2 linked regions of the Xenopus tropicalis genome follow. The protein of the gene in region 1 interacts with the protein of each later gene in a biochemical or structural test. Links are inferred from orthologs where the notes say so. Each region holds a gene or a part of one and is shown on either strand. Other genes may lie near its edges.

Region 1 (10,503 bases):
TGCGAGCCATTATCCAGAATGCTCGGGACCCTGGGTTTTCCGGATAAGGGGTCTTTCCGTAATTCGGATCCCCTACCTTAAGTCTACTAAAAAAGTTATTTAAACAGTAATTAAACCCAACAGGATTGTTTTTGCTCCAATAAGGATTCATTATATCTTAGTTTAGATCAAATACAGTGGCTTGCAAAAGTATTCGGCCCCCTTGAACTTTTCCACATTTTGTCACATTACAGCCACAAACATGAATCAATTTTATTGGAATAAACGTGTACACGTGTACACGTGAGAAGTGGAACGAAAATCGTACATGATTCCAAACATTTTTTACAAATAAATAACTGCAAAGTGGGGTGTGCGTAATTATTCAGGCCCGCTTTGGTCTGAGTGCAGTCAGTTGCCCATAGACATTGCCTGATGAGTGCTAATGACTAAATAGAGTGCACCTGTGTGTAATCTAATGTCAGTACAAATACAGCTGCTCTGTGACGGCCTCAGAGGTTGTCTAAGAGAATATTGGGAGCAACAACACCATGAAGTCCAAAGAACACACCAGACAGGTCAGGGATAAAGTTATTGAGAAATTTAAAGCAGGTTTAGGCTACAAAAAGATTTCCAAAGCCTTGAACATTCCATGGAGCACTGTTCAAGCGATCATTCAGAAATGGAAGGAGTATGGCACAACTGTAAACCTACCGAGACAAGGCCGTCCACCTAAACTCACAGGCCGAACAAGGAGAGCACTGATCAGAAATGCAGCCAAGAGGCCCATGGTGACTCTGGGGGAGCTGCAGAGATCTACAGCTCAGGTGGGGGAATCTGTCCATAGGACAACTATTAGTCGTGCACTGCACAAAGTTGGCCTTTATGGAAGAGTGGCAAGAAGAAAGCCATTGTTAACAGAAAACCATAAGAAGTCCCGTTTGCAGTTTGCCACAAGCCATGTGGGGGACACAGCAAACATGTGGAAGAAGGTGCTCTGGTCAGATGAGACCAAAATGGAACTTTTTGGCCAAAATGCAAAACGCTATGTGTGGCGGAAAACTAACACTGCACATCACTCTGAACACACCATCCCCACTGTCACATATGGTGGTGGCAGCATCATGCTCTGGGGGGGGGGGCTTCTCTTCAGCAGGGACAGGGAAGCTGCTCAGAGTTGATGGGAAGATGGATGGAGCCAAATACAGGGCAATCTTGGGAGAAAACCTCTTGGAGTCTGCAAAAGACTTGAGACTGGGGCGGAGGTTCACCTTCCAGCAGGACAACGACCCTAAACATAAAGCCAGGGCAACAATGGAATGGTTTAAAACAAAACATATCCATGTGTTAGAATGGCCCAGTCACAGTCCAGATCTAAATCCAATGGAGAATCTGTGGCAAGATCTGAAAACTGCTGTTCCCAAACGCTGTCCATCTAATCTGACTGAGCTGGAGTTGTTTTGCAAAGAAGAATGGGCAAGGATTTCAGTCTGTAGATGTGCAAAGCTGGTAGAGACATACCCTAAAAGCCTGGCAGCTGTAATTGCAGCAAAAGGTGGTTCTACAAAGTATTGACTCAGGGGGCTGAATAATTACGCACACCCCACTTTGCAGTTATTTGTAAAAAATGTTTGGAATCATGTATGATTTTCGTTCCACTTCTCACGTGTACACCACTTTGTATTGGTCTTTCACGTGGAATTCCAATAAAATTGATTCATGTTTGTGGCTGTAATGTGACAAAATGTGGAAACGTTCAAGGGGGCCGAATACTTTTGCAAGCCACTGTACAAGGTACTGTTTTATTATTACAAAGAAAAAGGAAACCATTTTTAAAAATGTGAATTATTTGATTACAATGGAGTCTATGGGAGATGGCCTTTCTGTAATTCTGAACTTTCTGGATAAGGGGTCCAATACCTGTATATTTTTTTTATATATGAAACTGGGGAGGTGACTGTATTGCACCCCCCATCCCCCAAGATCACGGTCCTGGGGCAGCCACCGGAATCTATTATAATCCATCACTAAATACTCCTTACCCTACAGATGGATAATGAGATTTAGGAATTTGGCCACCCGTCTGTGCCCAAACAGTGCATACATCCAACCTGATTGTAAATGTTAAACTCTATGTGGGATGTAATCATTCAAATCATTTAATCCATACAGAAAAGCTGTCATGATTTTCTAAACTTTTCATAAATACACATTTGCAGCGCTTGTAGATTTCAGGTGGTTTATCTTGTGATGTGTGTAGTGCTAACATTACAACAAGTTAACCCCACAAAATGAGTTCATAAAAACCTTTCCTTATTGTAAAATTTGCGATATTATCAAGGAACCTTTTAAAAAACACACACAAACCTATTATATATATATACTGGCATTTCAGAGTTACAATGCAGCATGGAATATTGAGCACAATTCACAAAATTGATGTAAATATTACTCCTGTGCAGTAACCCTGAGCAGCCAGCCAATCAGAAGTTTGCTATAACAGTCTTTAACATTACATTAGAGGGGATTATAGGCAGATGGGGGATTTTATTTTTCCCATAAAAACGATCAGCACACCAGAGGCCCCCCCTTTAGATTAGAGGAACGGAGCTTCCATTTGAAGCAGGTTTTTCACGGTGAGGGCAGTGAGGTTGGGGAATATAGAGAGGCAAACCTGTATGGCTTATGGGAAGTAGGTTAACTGGTTCTACCTATTAAAAAGGTGAAGTGGGTGCTGAAAACATTGCAGAGCATATCCCAATTTCCCAGCATGCTGCTCACTCTTATTAAGAGAAAAAGGATGGTAGAGGGAGGTAGGTAAATAGTTCAGATTGGGGCTTAAGAAAGTTTAGAAAAAATGTTTTTGGGGCCCTGAGGGTTAAAGGAACAGTAACACCAAAAAATTAAAGAGTTTTAAAGTAAAAGAAATATAATGTACTGTTGCCCTGCACTGGTAAAAGTTGTGTGTTTGCTACAGTAACACTACTTATATTATTATGGCACTTATATTGTAGTGTCACCCACTGTGACCTACAGCACTTACATTTGCCCATTTGTGTCTGTTAGTTACCCCTCCCATATAGATTGTAAGCTCTACGGGGCAGGGACCTTGTTCATCTTGTTTCTGACTCTTATTGCAACTGTACCTTGTATTTATTTGTATTTATTGTTGTACTTTGTATTTATCCATTATCTTTAACCCCCTGTTTGTATTAATGTATTCTACTGTACAGCGCTGCGTACATAAGTAGCGCTTTATAAATAAAGATATACATACATACATACATACATACTATAATTTATATAAATAAGCTGCTGTGTAGCCATGGGGGCAGCCATTCAAGCTGGAAAAAAGGAGAAAAGGCACAGGTTACATAGCAGATAACAGATAAGCTCTGTAGAATACAATAGTGTTTTATCTGTTATCTGCTAAGTGCCTGTGCCTTTTCTCCTTTGAATGGCTGCCCCCATGGCTACACAGCGGCATTCTTTATATAAATTATAGTAGTGTTTCTGAGGCAAACACTCCAGTTGCACCAGTGCAGGGCAACAGTACATTATACTGGAATTTCTTTTATACACTTTTTTTGGTGTTACTGTTCCTTTAAGGTTATCAGATCAAGTGATAAAATGACTAGAATGGGTTTCCAATCAGTGCCCTGCAGTACATCACATGCCAATGCACCACAGGAGAAACGCAAATAGGAATATTTACCTATTTTGCACAGATACAAGCAGAGGATGGTGCTTAGGGCTAATGGAGTTTCTGATCTGTTCAGAAGGGGAATCTGCTCAAACAAATTTGTGAAGTATTTGTTGATTTCTGAAATTAATTTTTGTAGACAAGACCTACATCCATTATTATTATTATTATTATTAACATTTATTTATAAAGCGCCAACATATTCCGCAGATCCTAAGCAATGATATGAAACCTGTGACCATCCCAGATGTTGCTGAACTACAACCAGAGTATGGGCTATGGGAATACACCCTTTAATTCCAATACAGCATTATAAAGAAGAAATTCAGTGCTTACTAACTTGCCCTTTAAATAGGTGCAACTAGTAAAGAAACAGCAGAGGGAGTTCTTTTCCCTTGCCCCCTGCAATCTCTGCAGCCTCACAGATCTGTTTGTTCAGACACATGGCTGTTGTCTATTTATTATGCATTTATAATGCTGGATATACTGGCTATACACACACAGTCAGTGCTATGGAGCAACAGACACGCATGTTTGTGATGTTTCTACTACTAAGGGTTCGTACTAATACTGAACCCTTAAATTCATGTAACTTTACGGTTTTAAAAAACTGAATTTAACATTTTGCAACCATTAATGCAATGACTTTTAGAATCTGAGTACAGGTATGGGATCCCTTATCCGGAAACCAGTTATCCAGAAAATTCCGAATTAGGGAAAGCCCATCTCCCATAGACACCAATATAAGCAAATAATTTTAATTTTATAAACTGATTCCCTTTTCTCTGTAAAAATAAAACAGTACCTTGTACTTGATCCCAACTAAGATATAATTACCCCTTATTGGGGGCAGAACAGCCCTATTGGGTTTATTTAATGGTTAAATGATCCCCTTTTCTCTGTAATAATAAAACAGTACCTGTACTTTATCCCAACTAAGATATAATTACCCCTTATTGGGGCAGAACAGCCCTATTGGGTTTATTTAATGGTTAAATGATTCCCTTTTCTCTGTAATAATAAAACAGTACCTGTACTTGATCCCAACTAAGATATAATTACCCCTTATTGGGGGCAGAACAGCCCTATTGGGTTTATTTAATGGTTAAATGATTCCTTTTTCTCTGTAATAATAAAACAGTACCTGTACTTGATCCCAACTAAGATATAATTACCCCTTATTGGGGGCAGAACAGCCCTATTGGGTTTATTTCATGGTTAAATGATTCCCTTTTCTCTGTAATAATAAAACAGTACCTGTACTTGATCCCAACTAAGATATAATTACCCCTTATTGGGGGCAGAACAGCCCTATTGGGTTTATTTCATGGTTAAATGATTCCCTTTTCTCTGTAATAATAAAACAGTACCTGTACTTGATCCAAACTAAGATATAATTAATCCTTATTGGAGGCAAAACAATCCTGGGTTTAATCAATATTTAAATGATTTTTAGAAGATTTAAGTTATGGAGATCCAAATTACGGAAAGATCCCTTATCTGGAAAACCCCAGGTCCTGAGCATTCTGGATAACAGGTCTCATACCTGTATACTGTTAAGAGTTCAGATTTGATTCAGGATGTGGAAATATCTTGTGTGGCGAATTAGTTACTTAACTAAACCCAAAAAATGTTGGGTTTGGTGCATCTCTACTTATTTTGCAATATGCATTGAGTTAAAAGTAAATATTGAAAATAAAATTATTTAAAAGTTAGGCTGCCTGTATCAGCTTATTAATGTTAAGTGCTGAAATGATGCATTCAGGTCATTGCTGCCGTACAAGAAGCATCCCCCATTTAAAGGGATGATGATTGGGGTTAGCCTGACTAATAATTAACCATGAGCAGTTTAGTTTGCCTTTGCCACATTGTGAATTGTTATCCAGTGAAAGTTTTAATTGATTTCACTTTGGCCTGAATGTTTGCGCCCATACAAACTGATATCAATTGCTGATCAAGTATCTAGCATTCTTGGGTTGCCGTGATGAAATACATTAAAATCGAATGTCCGTGGGTTCAAACTACACAGATTTCCGCTCAGCCCATTCACATTTCCATTCACATCCTTATTTATGAGTATTTGTGCATTATGCAGTTACATTTTTTCCAAGTAAAAGAATGAGAGGAGGAAATAACAAGATGGAGGCACATTGCAATATCTTGCGGCGCTTCTGTACACCCCCAAGCATGCTGGAAGTTATGGTTTAGTAACAGTTATTCATGAGTCGGACACCATTGCCTTATATGCAATGAGCTTGAATAAACAACCCCCAGGTACACAAGGAAGCTGAGAATATTTCAAGGTGACTTTTTTGTTACTTGTAAAATCAGAAATTTGGGGTGTAAGCCAGTGTTTCCCTCTCAGGGATAGTTCTGCTCCTTCACTGTAAACAAGAGAAAGCCCCTCACCTGAACTTGTGCCCAGCTGGAGCTGAGAGCTTATTGAATGTGTCCATGTTCCACAGGTGAGCCAGGGTCCCTGCTTGCCAGCTCCTTGTGGTGCCAGTCGCTCACAGCCTGTGAAATCCCCGCTGTCTCTGTCAGATTTCCCCTGAGTAGTGTGTGTTGGCACATAGTCATTTCGTTTGAGAAGTAAAACTTGCCTGATTACATATTCAGGTTTCGAGTTTCCTTCTCGTCACATGACCCACTCCCTGCCCATCTGGCTCCTGAATAGGCTTTTAGCAAACATTTCTCAGCTTCTACCTGTTTGGGAGTCACAACTAGCGCTGCTTTCTTCCTGCTGCTGTATGGGTTATGGGTTGCTGCTGGAATTTCCACTGAACTTTAACAATATCTCACAGTATTTGAAGATTCCAACTGCCAGCTGTCAGCTCAACTACATGTTTTCTCTCTGTGTCATCTGTGAGAGAACACTCCTGACATATGATATAGAGATTGATATTCTGAAATAATTTGCAGTTGGTCTTAATTTTTACATTTTATTTTTGTGAGGCTTTCCAGTTATTTAGCTTTTTTTTCAGCAGCTGTCCACTATCTGGTTGCTAGGGTCTTATTAACCATAGCCACCAGTCAGTGGTTTGAATAATGTGAATAGGCAAGGGAATGAATAGGAAGATAAGTAATAAAAAGTAACAATACTATTGTAGCCTCATAGGGCAATTGTTTTTTTGACTGTGGGATCAGTGATCCTCATTTGAAAACTGGAAAAGGTGTAGAAGGAAGGCAAATTATTTAAAATCTATTAGAAATAAATAATGAAGACCAACTGCAAAATTGCTAGGGCATTCTATAACATACTTAAGGCTGATGCCACACGTGGCGTTTTTACGCTGCGTTTTTTCTCAGCCTCAAAACGCCACACAAGCCACACAGCCCCTGACTATGGCGTTTTTCAGCCTAGTACTGGTGACGTAGCAAATCCCGTTTCCATGGTGCTAATAGTGCAAAATAGTAAAAAATGCCGCGTATTTCTGCTAGGTCTGGCAGCTGCCTTTGTGTATACATAGGAATAGCTTGCTGTGCAAATACTGGCATATTTCAGCCAACGCTTGAAAAATCCGTGCTAAGGCTTTTTCTAGCGTATTTCCGCATTGTGTGGTTTGGTTCGAGTCTTTTCAAGTTATTTCTATGGATGATGATATCGGGCGTTTTTCAGCCGCTGAGAAAATTTGAAAATACGCAGTGTAAAAACGCCTCGTGTGGCATCAGCCTAAAGGTGAACCACCCCTTTAAGGTGATAATGATTTTTTTAGGGCACTTATACACTGTGCATTTAATGATTGATTCCATTATATTCTGTTTGTACCCTGAGTTGACTTTTATTGCATTCATGTTTCATTTCAGTTTTTTTAAGCACAAAACCCTAAATTTTTTGCATTCAACAGAAAATAGAATAGAGGGTTGCATTTAGTAACTCACAAAAATGCACTTGATTGCATGTATGAAAATGCAATATTTGTGTTTTTAGACAGCCAGCATGGGATTTAAAAGGCATTATAATTGCCTCTGTGCTCAAGCCCTGAAAACCAAATTCCTATTCACTCCAGACAGTAACCAGAAATTGCACCACTTTATATTGTAGTTATTCTTGCTATCATTTGTGCCACCTCCTCTTATAAATTTTGCTCCTCTGTTGCCTGGTACATGGAACTACTGCCTCCAATAGTCACTCGCCCCTGCAATGTAAAAGCCAGCAAATGTGGAATATCCTTAAGTTCAGCCCCTGTCCTGCCCCCTAAAGCCCCTGATCCACCCAGAATCTAGTGGAAACCTACTCTTTTTCTCTTCCCTGATCCTCCTGGCATCACCCGTGACATCATAGCTTTTCATCATCAACCCGCCTCCTTTGTCACCACCCCGCACTGGCCGGTAACTTTCTTGTAAAAAGATGGCAACTGCAACTGTATATATTTATATGTCTTTTAGCCATGTGTAGCTGTAGTGGTTTTTATCACAGCCCTGCACAGTGCATTACACATAAGGGTAACCAGAATAAAGGGGAGGGAATACTCCTAATATGAAGTTGAAGTTGAACTGAAGAAGCTGCTCGGATGAGTAGTGAAACGTATTGAATGATTACCAAACAAGTCCAGTTGCTTTAAATTTATTTATATTAGATATACCATGACCTGAATGAATGAAAATCTTCATAGACAATACTCCTAATATTGAGATATACAGATTTCCTGTTTTCTAAAGAATTTTTGGTTAATACTGATCTGTAAATTCCCCCTGTATACAATGCATTGTGCAATGACAGAAAGCAGGCCAGTGTACAGATTAGTCATTATTCTGTATAGTAACCATGTTTGCTTATTGCTTTGCTAATAAGGAAATAACAGCCCATTGGATGCAGAGGGGGGAAAACAATGTAACACTTTTTGTCTGAAATGTAAAAATGGCCGCCCACTTTGAGTCCACTGGGAGCGACATCAAAGGGGTTAGTAACATGTTGCTCCAAACCCTGATTGGGGATCACTGGTATAGAACTATGCAGATATTAAACAGTTTGTATATGCTGAGATCCAGCTGCAAAACAGTTCTTCTCTTTCTGCATCATTTGAAATCCTGGCAGGGGAGGAGGGACTAAAACATTGATGTTATAAATTGTAAAAACTTCTCCAGAGCTTACAGAGAGCATGCAGGAACTACTTAACCCACAATGCATTGCACTGTGATGTTCTTTTCCTTATTGACATCACAGGTGCAGGGAATTGTGGGATATGGAGGATGCAGGCTGAAGGCAGGCTGAAGACAGTCGGCTACTGTTACATTTTATTTGAGTCTCAAAGTAGCCAGCCAGATCAGCAGGGGATAGGGGGTGGGGCTTAGGGAACTGTTCCAAACCATGATGCCATTTTTTATTTGTCTCAAATTTTTAATATGCAAATTAGGGTTCAGATTCAGTTTGGAATTTAGAAACATCTTCTGTGGAGGATTCAGTATTTAGTCAAATGCAAAAAAAATTAAAAATATGGAATGAATGCATTGGTGTAAACAGGCACACATTATGGGGTGAATGCCACAAAATTCTTCATCACATACCCTAGTGGTCATGTTTTGTCATATTAAAAATTAAAGGCCTGGATGGTCCAAAGAGTTATTGTGATAATGCAGAGAAGTCAGACCGGGGGGGTACAGTTTTTGCTGTGTCTCGTATTGTCTGGAAGTGACATCATTTTGCATGACTACTGCTGGAAGTGATGTCACTGCGCCAGCTCCTTCTGATGTCACTGAATGCTTACGTCATAGATACGCATACAGTCTCCAGGTGAAATCTGTAAAGGTGACATGTCTGACAATGTGCATGTACAGCAATAAAGGCTTTATTTTACATTAGAACTGACTGTGACTTCTGCTGATTGCTTCATTCCTCAAAACATCCTCTTATTGTGGGTGTAATTGCAAAGGAACAATATATTTAGAAAGAGAAAGAAGAGTCTAAGGATGATTCACTGAGCCGTCTTGTGCAATACTTGTTTTCTTATGATGCCATAAAGCTTGGCGGGGCTTTATATCATCTCAAACCTGGTGCATGTGCCTCTCCAGTAGCCAAGGGGTAATTATTTATCTTACAGATCTTTACAAACTGCCTGCATCTTTTATATTTAGCGTTACCCCTTTTATATTTAGCATTACCCCTTTTATATTTAGCGTTACCCCTTTTATATTTAGCGTTACCCCTTTTATATTTAGCGTTACCCCTTTTATATTTAGCGTTACCCCTTTTATATTTAGCGTTACCCCTTTTATATTTAGCGTTACCCCTTTTATATTTAGCGTTACCCGGGAGCTAAAATCCTACGTATTGATCATACAGTCAGTGTGCCAAGTGCAAGGTAGTATATGCGAGTTTGTCAGATTTCGTTTATTTATATTATATTTTCTTTTTAATTCTCAGTCCTCCGCTGACAAGCTGGAAACCAAACTGAATCCAGACTGCACTATGCATATTAAATTTGAGGATAATAATATAAAAAACAGCATTATATAAAGTTGAGTGCTTTATAGTCGCATGACTGCAGTTTGGCATAGGAAGGGCAGGGGTCTGGATTTTGCTGTGCTGAGATTCATCTAAATCAGGGCTCCCCAACCTTTCTTACTCGTGAGCCACAATCAAATGTAAAAAAACCTGGGGAGCAACACAAGCACCATAAAAGTTCATGGAGGAGCCAAATAAGGGCTAAGATTGGCTATTAGGCAGCCTCTATGCACACTATCAGCTTACAGGGGGCTTTATTTGGTAGGAAATCTTGTTTTTATTCAACCAAAACTTGCCCCCAAGTCAGGAATTCAAATATAACTCCCTGGTTTGGGGGCACTGAGAGCAACATCCAAGGGGTTGGGGAGCAAGATGT
Region 2 (9,107 bases), about 81 Mb from region 1:
CCGTGTCTGTTTCCATACAAGCATTGTATTTAGGTGCCATGTCCAAGAAAGGAGAAGTAGAGACATCTGTGAGGGATGTGTTTATTCTGAGGGTCCCTAGAGAGATGCTCCCTTGAGAGGGCGGGGGAAGCACTGCAGCAGCAATGTAGGGTGGTGACAGGGCTCATGTGATAAAAGGTTTGGCAATGCATAGAGGACAGTCAGGTGCCTGCTTTAAAAGAGGTGACTAATAAATGTAGCTTGCTGATTGGTTGCTATTGGTTACTAGACTAAAATGTCGGATTATATTAACCCAAGGGTTCCTCTCTCTACTTCACTCACTACATTGTCAGGGCTTGTAGGCAACAAAGGACTGGAGTGTGCCAGGCCCACTGGAGCTGCTACCCCCCCCCCTCTGGGGCCCCACCTGCTTACCCACTGTCAGCCCCTCCCTTCCCACTTATCTTATACTTTGTTCAGAGCATTGGCAACAGGGGAGCAACAGGTGGGGATTGGGTCTGGAATGACAGGGCCCCCCAGGTTTTTTCCTGGTGTCCCGCCAGCCAAGTCTGACCTTGCTATTAGTTTTTTTGGGAATAGCAAACACCTGGCAGGTAAGTGGTTTAAATGTATGTCTCACCAGATGACTATAACCTACACTGGGCCTGTGCTATTATTATATATGGTGCCCAAGTGGCATTAGGGTTGGATCTCCCTTGCCTGGGCAGCACCAGTGCTGTTTATAGAAGGCTGTACAATATCTTATTGTAGTTGTTTACTTTTTCTATTTAATGGTGTGATATCAGCCAAAGGATTGGCCAGACATCTGTCAATATTGGGCACACGTCTGGGCAAGGTGTAAGTTCTTTCTATCTGGACTATCAATATAAAGACATGGAGGCCAGGATTTGTGGCAAGGCCACAGAGGCCCAGACATAGGGCAGCACAAACTAAGCTGCACCTGAATTTTGCGCACACCCAGAGCACTGGGGTCTGGGCACGCGGGAGATCTCTGCGCATTCTGTCCCCTGTGTAAGTCCAAACGATGCTCATATACACAATTCTGGGGGGAGGCAGTAGCATTGAAGGGTGCCGGTCTCTGGAGGCGCTGCACAGAAATATGGCCCTGGAGAAATCTTTGTCCCAGGAAGAATACAATCGGGGTCCTTTACTTCAGGCGCATCACCCACTTATGGCTGCAATTACACTGGAATTATAAAACACTGGAATTATAAAACATGGTGATTGCACCTGGAAGTGCATTTTGCACACTGCGCTTGTGGGTTGTCCTTGACCCCTTATGTACGATTCCCTAATATCAAGTTAACTTCTTGGTTTGAGGAAGGTTCATTTACCCTGGTGCTGACCGGCTTTTCAATAGGCCTTATATTACATATTGTGCTACTGGGGACAGCACTTCTTTACTGCCATCCATGATAATAGGCCATTATACACTAATGATATGGATAATCCATAAAAAGTATCCTTAGAACTGGTGCTTAGTGATGTCACTGATGTCACATGATGTGTGAGTGATCTTGATGCTTGGTCTTTGAGCTGTTTAATGGGTAAGGGGTCCACTATTCCCTGAATAACACTTGGCAATTGTCTTTAACCAGGAAAGCTATGTTGGATGCTGAAGATGCAGTGGGTGCCTACTTCCGTGCTGGGGTCCCCAGGGGACAATGTGAACCTGATGTGTAATTATGATACAAAGACATCTGAGACGAATCTCCATGTTGACTGGATTCAGATCAAGTGGTACCAGAACGTATCAGCCACAGCCAATATAACAGAGACGGAGGCAAACATGGAAGGGAGGATTCGATACAACAAGAAAGTCCTAGAAATCAAAAATGCACAAAAGAACGACAGTGCACTATATCGGTGCAGAGTAACAGTGGGGGATAAAAAATACAAGTCCTGTGGGACATATCTGAGGATTCAAGGTGAGGCTGTGACAGAGCCACAGGGTTGCAACGAGTACAGTCAATTCACTTGTGTTGCAGTTTAAAGCTAATAAGATAATTGTGCCACTTACAATTCAAGAAATGCAAGAAAATGTTTGTCCATGTAAAGGGAGAATTGATGCTTATGTTAACAGAATGGCCCCTTCATAGGCTGGCATCCTTGACTGCTCCACAAGGCTCCCAAAAAGTACCCCCTCTCCCCCATACATTGGCCTATAATGCAAAGTTGCACAGTTGAATTTGTGGCCACTTCCTTTAAGTGAGCACTGAGTTTGAGTATGTGCAGTGAAAATGACCTGGTTCTGGTGGCCACCAACCCCACTGGACCACGCTACATTCCTGTACATTCTGGGCCCAGGGAATTGGGCACCTTTCAGAAGTCAGTGGGAGCAGTTGTTAAGTAAACCCTGTGCAGGTTTTAGTTGTTGGCAGGTTTGTGCACTCGTCACAAGGGGTTTCTGTGTTGCAGAGGCTGAGCCCTACGCTTTCTTTAACCTTGGGGAGACAACAAAGAACAGAATGATCACAGTGGAAGGAGTAGTGCTTCTCCTGTGTACAATCATTCCGGGGACTTTCCTACTGTATAAGGTACGTGTTATATATTGCACAATAAGTTATTATGGGCGTTCTTTCAGTCCATGGTCAGGGCTGAATCTGTTTCAGTAGCCTACAGCAGCCAATAAGAATTATGGTTTCATTAGTGTTACTGCCAGGGACCAATTAGAACTAATTGATGCTTGGTTGCTACTTTGGATTGAAAGATCAATTTTGTGAGCCTTCTCCACCCTATTTGGAGCTACAGCATGAAACAGGGTAAGATGTATTTCCTGCTTTTATTGGCTGTTTTCCTTGTGATTTGGCTAATTAAATATACTTCCAATGGGCTTCCAGTGGGTTTTTAAGGATGCTGGGGCTAAGGTTCCTCAGGCTACCAAGCCCTTGCTATATGTGATATTACAGGCAAACCCAATAATGATTACAACCAAATAACACATGTTTTGCTTTATATATGATGATGGTTCATGTTATACTGGGTAATGTTGTCTTTTATGGGTGGGGGGAATTCATACCATACAGGTGTCTGATGAACCTAGGAGGTGGCACCCCCATGATGTTCTCATGATTGAGATTTCAGTAGCAGAAGTTGTTATTATGGTTTGCTGTAAGATGTGTCCTTGCAGAGCAGTGATTCTCAACCAATGGCTTGCGAGTAACACGTTTCTTACCAACCCATTGGCTGTTGCTCCCAATTTCCTCCAAGCAGGTGCTTATTTTTGAATTCCTGGAGGCAAGTTTTGGTTGCATAAATGTACTGCCAGAACAGAACCTCCTGTAGCCTGCCAGCCCACATAGGGGCTACCAAATATACAGTCACAGCCCTTATTTGATACCCACAGAAACTTTTTATGCTTGTGTTGCTCCCAATTTTTTTTACAATACTTAAGGCCCCCACCGACTCGGCAGCTTATCGGCCCGTGTAGGGGCAGAAACGAGCAGGCTGGCCGACCGATATCTGGCCTGAAATTGGCCAGCTATCGGTCGGCCAGGTTAGAAAATTCAGTCGGATCGGGGACCGCATCGGCTCGTTGATGCGGTCCCTGAACCGACTACCCCATTGCCGCCTACATAATCCGATCAGGGCCCCAGGGCCAAACGATTGGATTATTTTTTTTTTAACTTGAAACTCCCCAATATCGCCCACCCGTAGTTGGGGATATTGGGGGAAGATCCGCTCGCTTGGCGATCTCGCCAAGCGAGCGGATCTTACCGTGTATGGGGGCCTTTACACAGTATAAAGACACAAGGGATGGGTGTAGGGTACCAATAGATGTATGTATTGCGGTTGTTTCTTTTTGAAGAGGCAAAGCCTTTGTTATTCTCCAACAATAGAAGAAACCTTGGAAGAGAGTTTTCAGCCTAGTCCAATAACTTGGTTATCATATACTAGAATGGCAAATTAATTGTAATTTAAAAAGGAAACTATAGAAAATAGACTGATGCAAGTTCTATCATCACAATGGATGCTGTGATCTTAAACTACAGAAAAATCTGTACCAAGACCTTAGCCTTAGTGCTTAACCCTAGTTAAAGGGGTTGTCCACCTTAAAATTAACTTTTTAGCATGTTGTAGAGCTTGATGTTCTGAGACAATTTGCTATCAGCCCTCACTTTTTATTTTCTGTGGTTTTTGAAGTATTTATCTTTTTGTTCAGCAGCTCTCCAGTTTTTTTAATTACAGCAGCCATCTGGTTGCTAGGGTTCAAATTACCATAGCAATCAGGCAGTGGCTTGAATGAGAAACTTGAATATGAATAGGAGAGGGGCTGAATAGAAAGATAAGTAATAAAAAGTAACAATAACAATAAAATTGTAGCCTCACAGAGCATTTGGGTGCTGGGGTCGGTGACCCCCATTTAAAAGCTGGAAAGATAAGAAAAAGGCAAATAATTCATTATTTTTCTGTTTTTGTTGCCACAGAAGCGCTGGGAAAACCTAACGTTATTAACCACGTCACAGATAGGGGATAACATTTATGAGGTGAGAGTGATATTCATGGTAAATAATATTATCCATTATATTAACTAGTATTAACATGCGGACGTCACATTGTTACATGATTGTAGGGCCCTAAGATTTATTATTATGCCATTTAATTGAATTTAGAATTGGATGCCTAAAGGTGGTCCTAATAATGTGCTTATGAAACACTATTTCTTCCCAGGTAAAAAGGGAGTTTCCCCTGCAGTTCAGGAAAGCCCACTAGGTGGCGGTGTTTTCACATGTTAGAGGTCTTTTTCCTGGGACTTCACCTCACTGAGAGGTAGCTAGAGGAATCAGTTCAGTTAGCATAGATTAGTTAGAGGATGAGGTTGGGGATGAGGTTGCCAGCCACACAGATATAAGATATATGTTTAGTTACAAAGAGGCAGAGCATTTGTTTCTGGTTTCCCAAAAATATTCATCAAACATCTACACATACCCCAAGGCCCACACACTGCAAAATCTCCCTGGACCCTGCTTTATAAGTCTCCTCCTTCTCTCCCCCAGGGTTTGAATCTTGAAGAGTGTTCTACATATGAGGACATCACTCGTGGTCTGCAGGCCACATATGAAGACGTGGGCTCCTTGCGGGGCACTGACATTCAACTGGAGAAACCCTAACTGGGCTCAAATTACTGGCCAACTTTTGTAGTAAGAGCCCCTCTCACCTCTGCCCATAGCAATAACTGGGTCATTCTCAGAGGTGCAACTCTTTGTTCTGCATATTAGCAAATGCTTCTTATTACATTGCTAAAGAGATGTGAAGGTTCATTCACTTAGCTGCCCAGAATGTTAATGGGCCCCTTGTTCCTGGTTAGTGAGGATAAGTATACAATCTTGCTTTTATGCTGAGTGCTTTTTGCACAAATGTGTTGGTAACTCAAAATAAGCTTTAATTGGGATCCAGTTCTTTTCTTCAAGAGGGTCCCACGTGCAACTCTTCCTCTGCCCACTGCCGGCTTTCCCTATCAAAAGAGCCCTCTGGGTTTCCCTATACAGTAGTACCCAGTCAGACCCAGGACCCAGTACCCAGGACTGGAACATACACTATGGGGCAGATTTATCAAAATGTGATTTTAGAGTTTAATACATAAACTCACCCAGCTTCTATTCATTCCTATGAGATTTTTAGAAGCGTAATTTCACCCATGGATAAATACAGTTCTAAAAGTCCCATAGGAATGAATAGAGAGTGGGTGATTTTTATGTATTAAGCTCTAAGCTCACATTTTGATAAATTTGCCCCTATCTGTTGTTGAGCATTCTATCAGCTTGCTGGGAAAATATACAAAGATATGAATTTTTCTAATGATTCCTCCTAAATATTATGTTTATTTTTTAATGATAAAAATATATATTACTTTTTTCTTTTACTGTTTCTCACTTAATAAATCCTTTTGATAACCAAGCATATTTTTCTTCTCTTATGTTGGTACTGCGGCCATACCAATATAGGTGCATCTCATCTACGATTTGCATTGAATTATGGGGGAAAAATGATCTCCAAATCCCATAACTGGCAGTAGTTTTACTGTATATACTCGAGTATAAGCCTAGTTTTTAAACACCCAACATGTGCTGAAAAAGTTATATTTGAGTCGGGTGCCATGGGTCCCTCCAGACTAGCACCCTCTGTCCTTTGTGTGCAAATTAGGCCACCTGCAACCAGACCCCCCAGTGCCCTGGCCCACTCCCAAATTAATCTTTATCTACCATCCTCACCTGTCCCATTCTGCACTAGACATTGCACTTTATATTCTATATAAACTATATATAGTTTTGAAGAATTTTAACTCTTTGTGTTTTAGCTTGGTTGCTGATTGAGCTAAGGGGGTAGTACTCTTAAGGTATCATTGTTGATACCATATTGTATTTGACCCTCTTTTCCGCTTACAGAGCTAGTTTACTGTTTTTCTTTGAAATAAATATTTAAAAACATATACCCCACTGATGCCTCATTTAATGTAATTTTATTGGTATTTATTTTGATTATTGAAACTTAGCAGTAGCTGCTGCATTTCCCACCCTAGGCTTATACTCGAGTCAATAAGTTTTTCCAGTTTTCTTAGGTACAATTAGGTACCTCTGCTTATACTCAAGTATATAGTTCAGGGATCTAGGCTCTAAGATTAAGCAAAGGTCCTCCAATGTCATTTTTTCGGAAATTTTGCCGGTGCCACGTGCAAGTTTAGGGAGACAGCGGGAGCTTAGGGAGCTAAATGCTTGGCTAAAGTCTTGGTGTAGGAAGGAAGGGTTTGGGTTCCTAGAGCACTGGGCTGACTTTTCCTTGGGGTACAATCTATACAGCCGTGACGGATTGCACCTCAATGGAAGGGGGTCTGCTGTGCTAGGGGAGAGAATGGTTAAGAGGTTGGAGGAGTGTTTAAACTAGACAAGGGGTGGGTGGGTGAGCTAGAATTCTATGGGATAGCTAGTGTAGACAGGGCAGTGGGACTAGCAAAGGGTTGTGGGGGAGGAGTGAGGGGGGCATATAGTTTATCAAATAAGGAGCTTCCGTTACAAGGAAAACAGTCTAATATTTGCCTTAGCTCTAACTCTCCATTAGCTGATGTAAACATCAGAGGGAGAAGTAGTAATCTCCGCTGCATGCTGGCTAATGCGCGAAGCTTGTCGGGTAAATTAGGGGAGCTGCAAGCTATTGCATGTATTGAAAATTATGATTTAATAGGTATCACTGAGACCTGGTGGGATGATAAATGCGACTGGGCTGTGAATTTAAATGGTTAAACACTTTTTAGGAGGGACAGAGAGATTAAAAAGGGTGGAGGGGTTTGTCTTTATGTAAAGTCAGATTTAAAGCCATGTAATAAAAACATTACCAATGAAAACATTGAATCTCTTTGGGTAGAAATTTCAGTAGGGCTGAAGGTCACAAAGAAAATGATCATTGGTGTATGCTATAAACCCCCCCGTATAGATGAGGGGGATGAGGCCCAGCTATTGTTGCAAATGGAGGAGGCTTCAAAACTGGGTCAAGTTGTTATTATGGGGGACTTTAATTATCCGGACATTGACTGGAGTAATGGGGTGGCTAAGTCAGAAAAAGATAGTAGGTTTGTAAATATGCTAAATGACAACTTTCTATTTCAGGCGGTTCAAGAACCTACTCGGAATGAGTCTATTTTGGACCTGGTGATATCTAATAATACTGAACTTATCTCTAACATTTGTGTGGGTGAGCATTTGGGGAACAGTGATCACAACATGGTCTCCTTTGAGATAATGCTGCAGAGACAGTGCTATAAGGGAGTAACTAAAACACTCAATTTTAGACGTGCAGACTTTGCCAGTATAAGGGCATCTCTGCAATGTGTCAACTGGGAAAGGCTTTTCATGGGGTTAGACACAGAAGGAAAATGGAACATCTTTAAAACATTGCTTTGCAAGTATACACAACAGTATATTCCCCTTGTAAGCAAGGAGAGGCATCGCAAAGCAAAACCTTTATGGCTGAATAAAAGTGTTAGTGTCGAGGTTGGTAAGAAAAAACGTGCTTTTAAAGCATTCAAGTTAGCTGGGACAGCGGAAACTTTCATCAGGTACAAGGAAGCAAATAAAGCATGAAATAAAGCTATCAGGCAAGCTAAAATAGAAATGGAAAGAGATATTGCAGCTAGGAGTAAAAAGAATCCAAAATTATTTTTTAATTATGTGAATAGTAAAAAAATGAAGCAAGAAGGGGTGGGAACCTTATTATCACGGGGGGGGGGGGTAAGTTGGTTGATGAGAACGAGGAAAAAGCAGAAATTTTGAACTCTTATTTTTCATCTGTCTATACATCTGAGGAGCCAGCTAATGAAGGCTTCCCTTTTAATATGCCCAGTTCTAGTAATTTAGCTACTGACGCATGGGTCACTCAGGAGGAAATTCAAAAGAGACTTGAACATGTAAAGGGAAACAAAGGTCCAGGGCCGGATGGATTCATCCCAGGGTATTAAATGAGCTGAGCGCTGTGATTGCCAAACCTCTTCACTTAATTTTTCAGGATTCGTTGAGGTTTGGCATGGTGCCGAGAGACTGGCGAATTGCTAATGTGGTGCCGTTATTTAAAAAGGGATCCCGTTCTCAGCCTGAAAACTATAGGCCTGTTAGTCTGACATCAGTAGTAGGAAAAATTTTGGAAGGGGTAATAAGGGATAGGGTACTTGAATACATTGCAAATCACAATACTATTAGTTTGTGCCAGCATGGTTTTATGCGTAACAGATCTTGCCAGACTAATTTAGTCGCCTTTTATGAGGAGGTGAGCAGGAACCTTGATGCTGGAATAGTTGATGTCATCTACTTGGACTTTGCTAAAGCGTTTGATACAGTACCTCACAGAAGGATAATGATCAAATTAAGGAATATTGGCCTAGAACATAATATTTGTAATTGGATAGAGAACTGGCTGAAGGATAGATTACAGAGAGTGGTTGTAAATGGAACATTTTCTAATTGGACCAGTGTGGTTAGTGGAGTACCGCAGGGGTCAGTCCTTGGGCCTTTGCTTTTTAACTTGTTTATTAATGACCTGGAGGTGGGCATAGACAGTACTGTTTCTATTTTTGCTGATGACACAAAATTGTGCAAAACTATAAGTTCCATGCAGGATGC

The links.
Region 2: the proteins of blnk (region 1) and cd79a form a complex in vitro, tested with the Homo sapiens proteins (2 studies listed by BioGRID). The link is inferred for Xenopus tropicalis from reciprocal best matches to the Homo sapiens genes BLNK and CD79A.

What each region holds. Positions count from the first base shown.
Region 1 is NC_030683.2:26,109,486-26,119,988, forward strand, and holds the start of blnk (B-cell linker protein), read right to left. Parts: upstream 6,233-10,503; 5' UTR 6,139-6,232; coding exon 6,092-6,138; intron 1-6,091. UniProt on the Homo sapiens protein: Functions as a central linker protein, downstream of the B-cell receptor (BCR), bridging the SYK kinase to a multitude of signaling pathways and regulating biological outcomes of B-cell function and development.
Region 2 is NC_030683.2:106,693,466-106,702,572, reverse strand, and holds the end of cd79a (B-cell antigen receptor complex-associated protein alpha chain), read left to right. Parts: intron 1-1,598; coding exon 1,599-1,928; intron 1,929-2,418; coding exon 2,419-2,537; intron 2,538-4,427; coding exon 4,428-4,487; intron 4,488-4,997; coding exon 4,998-5,111; 3' UTR 5,112-5,898; downstream 5,899-9,107. UniProt on the Homo sapiens protein: Required in cooperation with CD79B for initiation of the signal transduction cascade activated by binding of antigen to the B-cell antigen receptor complex (BCR) which leads to internalization of the complex, trafficking to late endosomes and antigen presentation.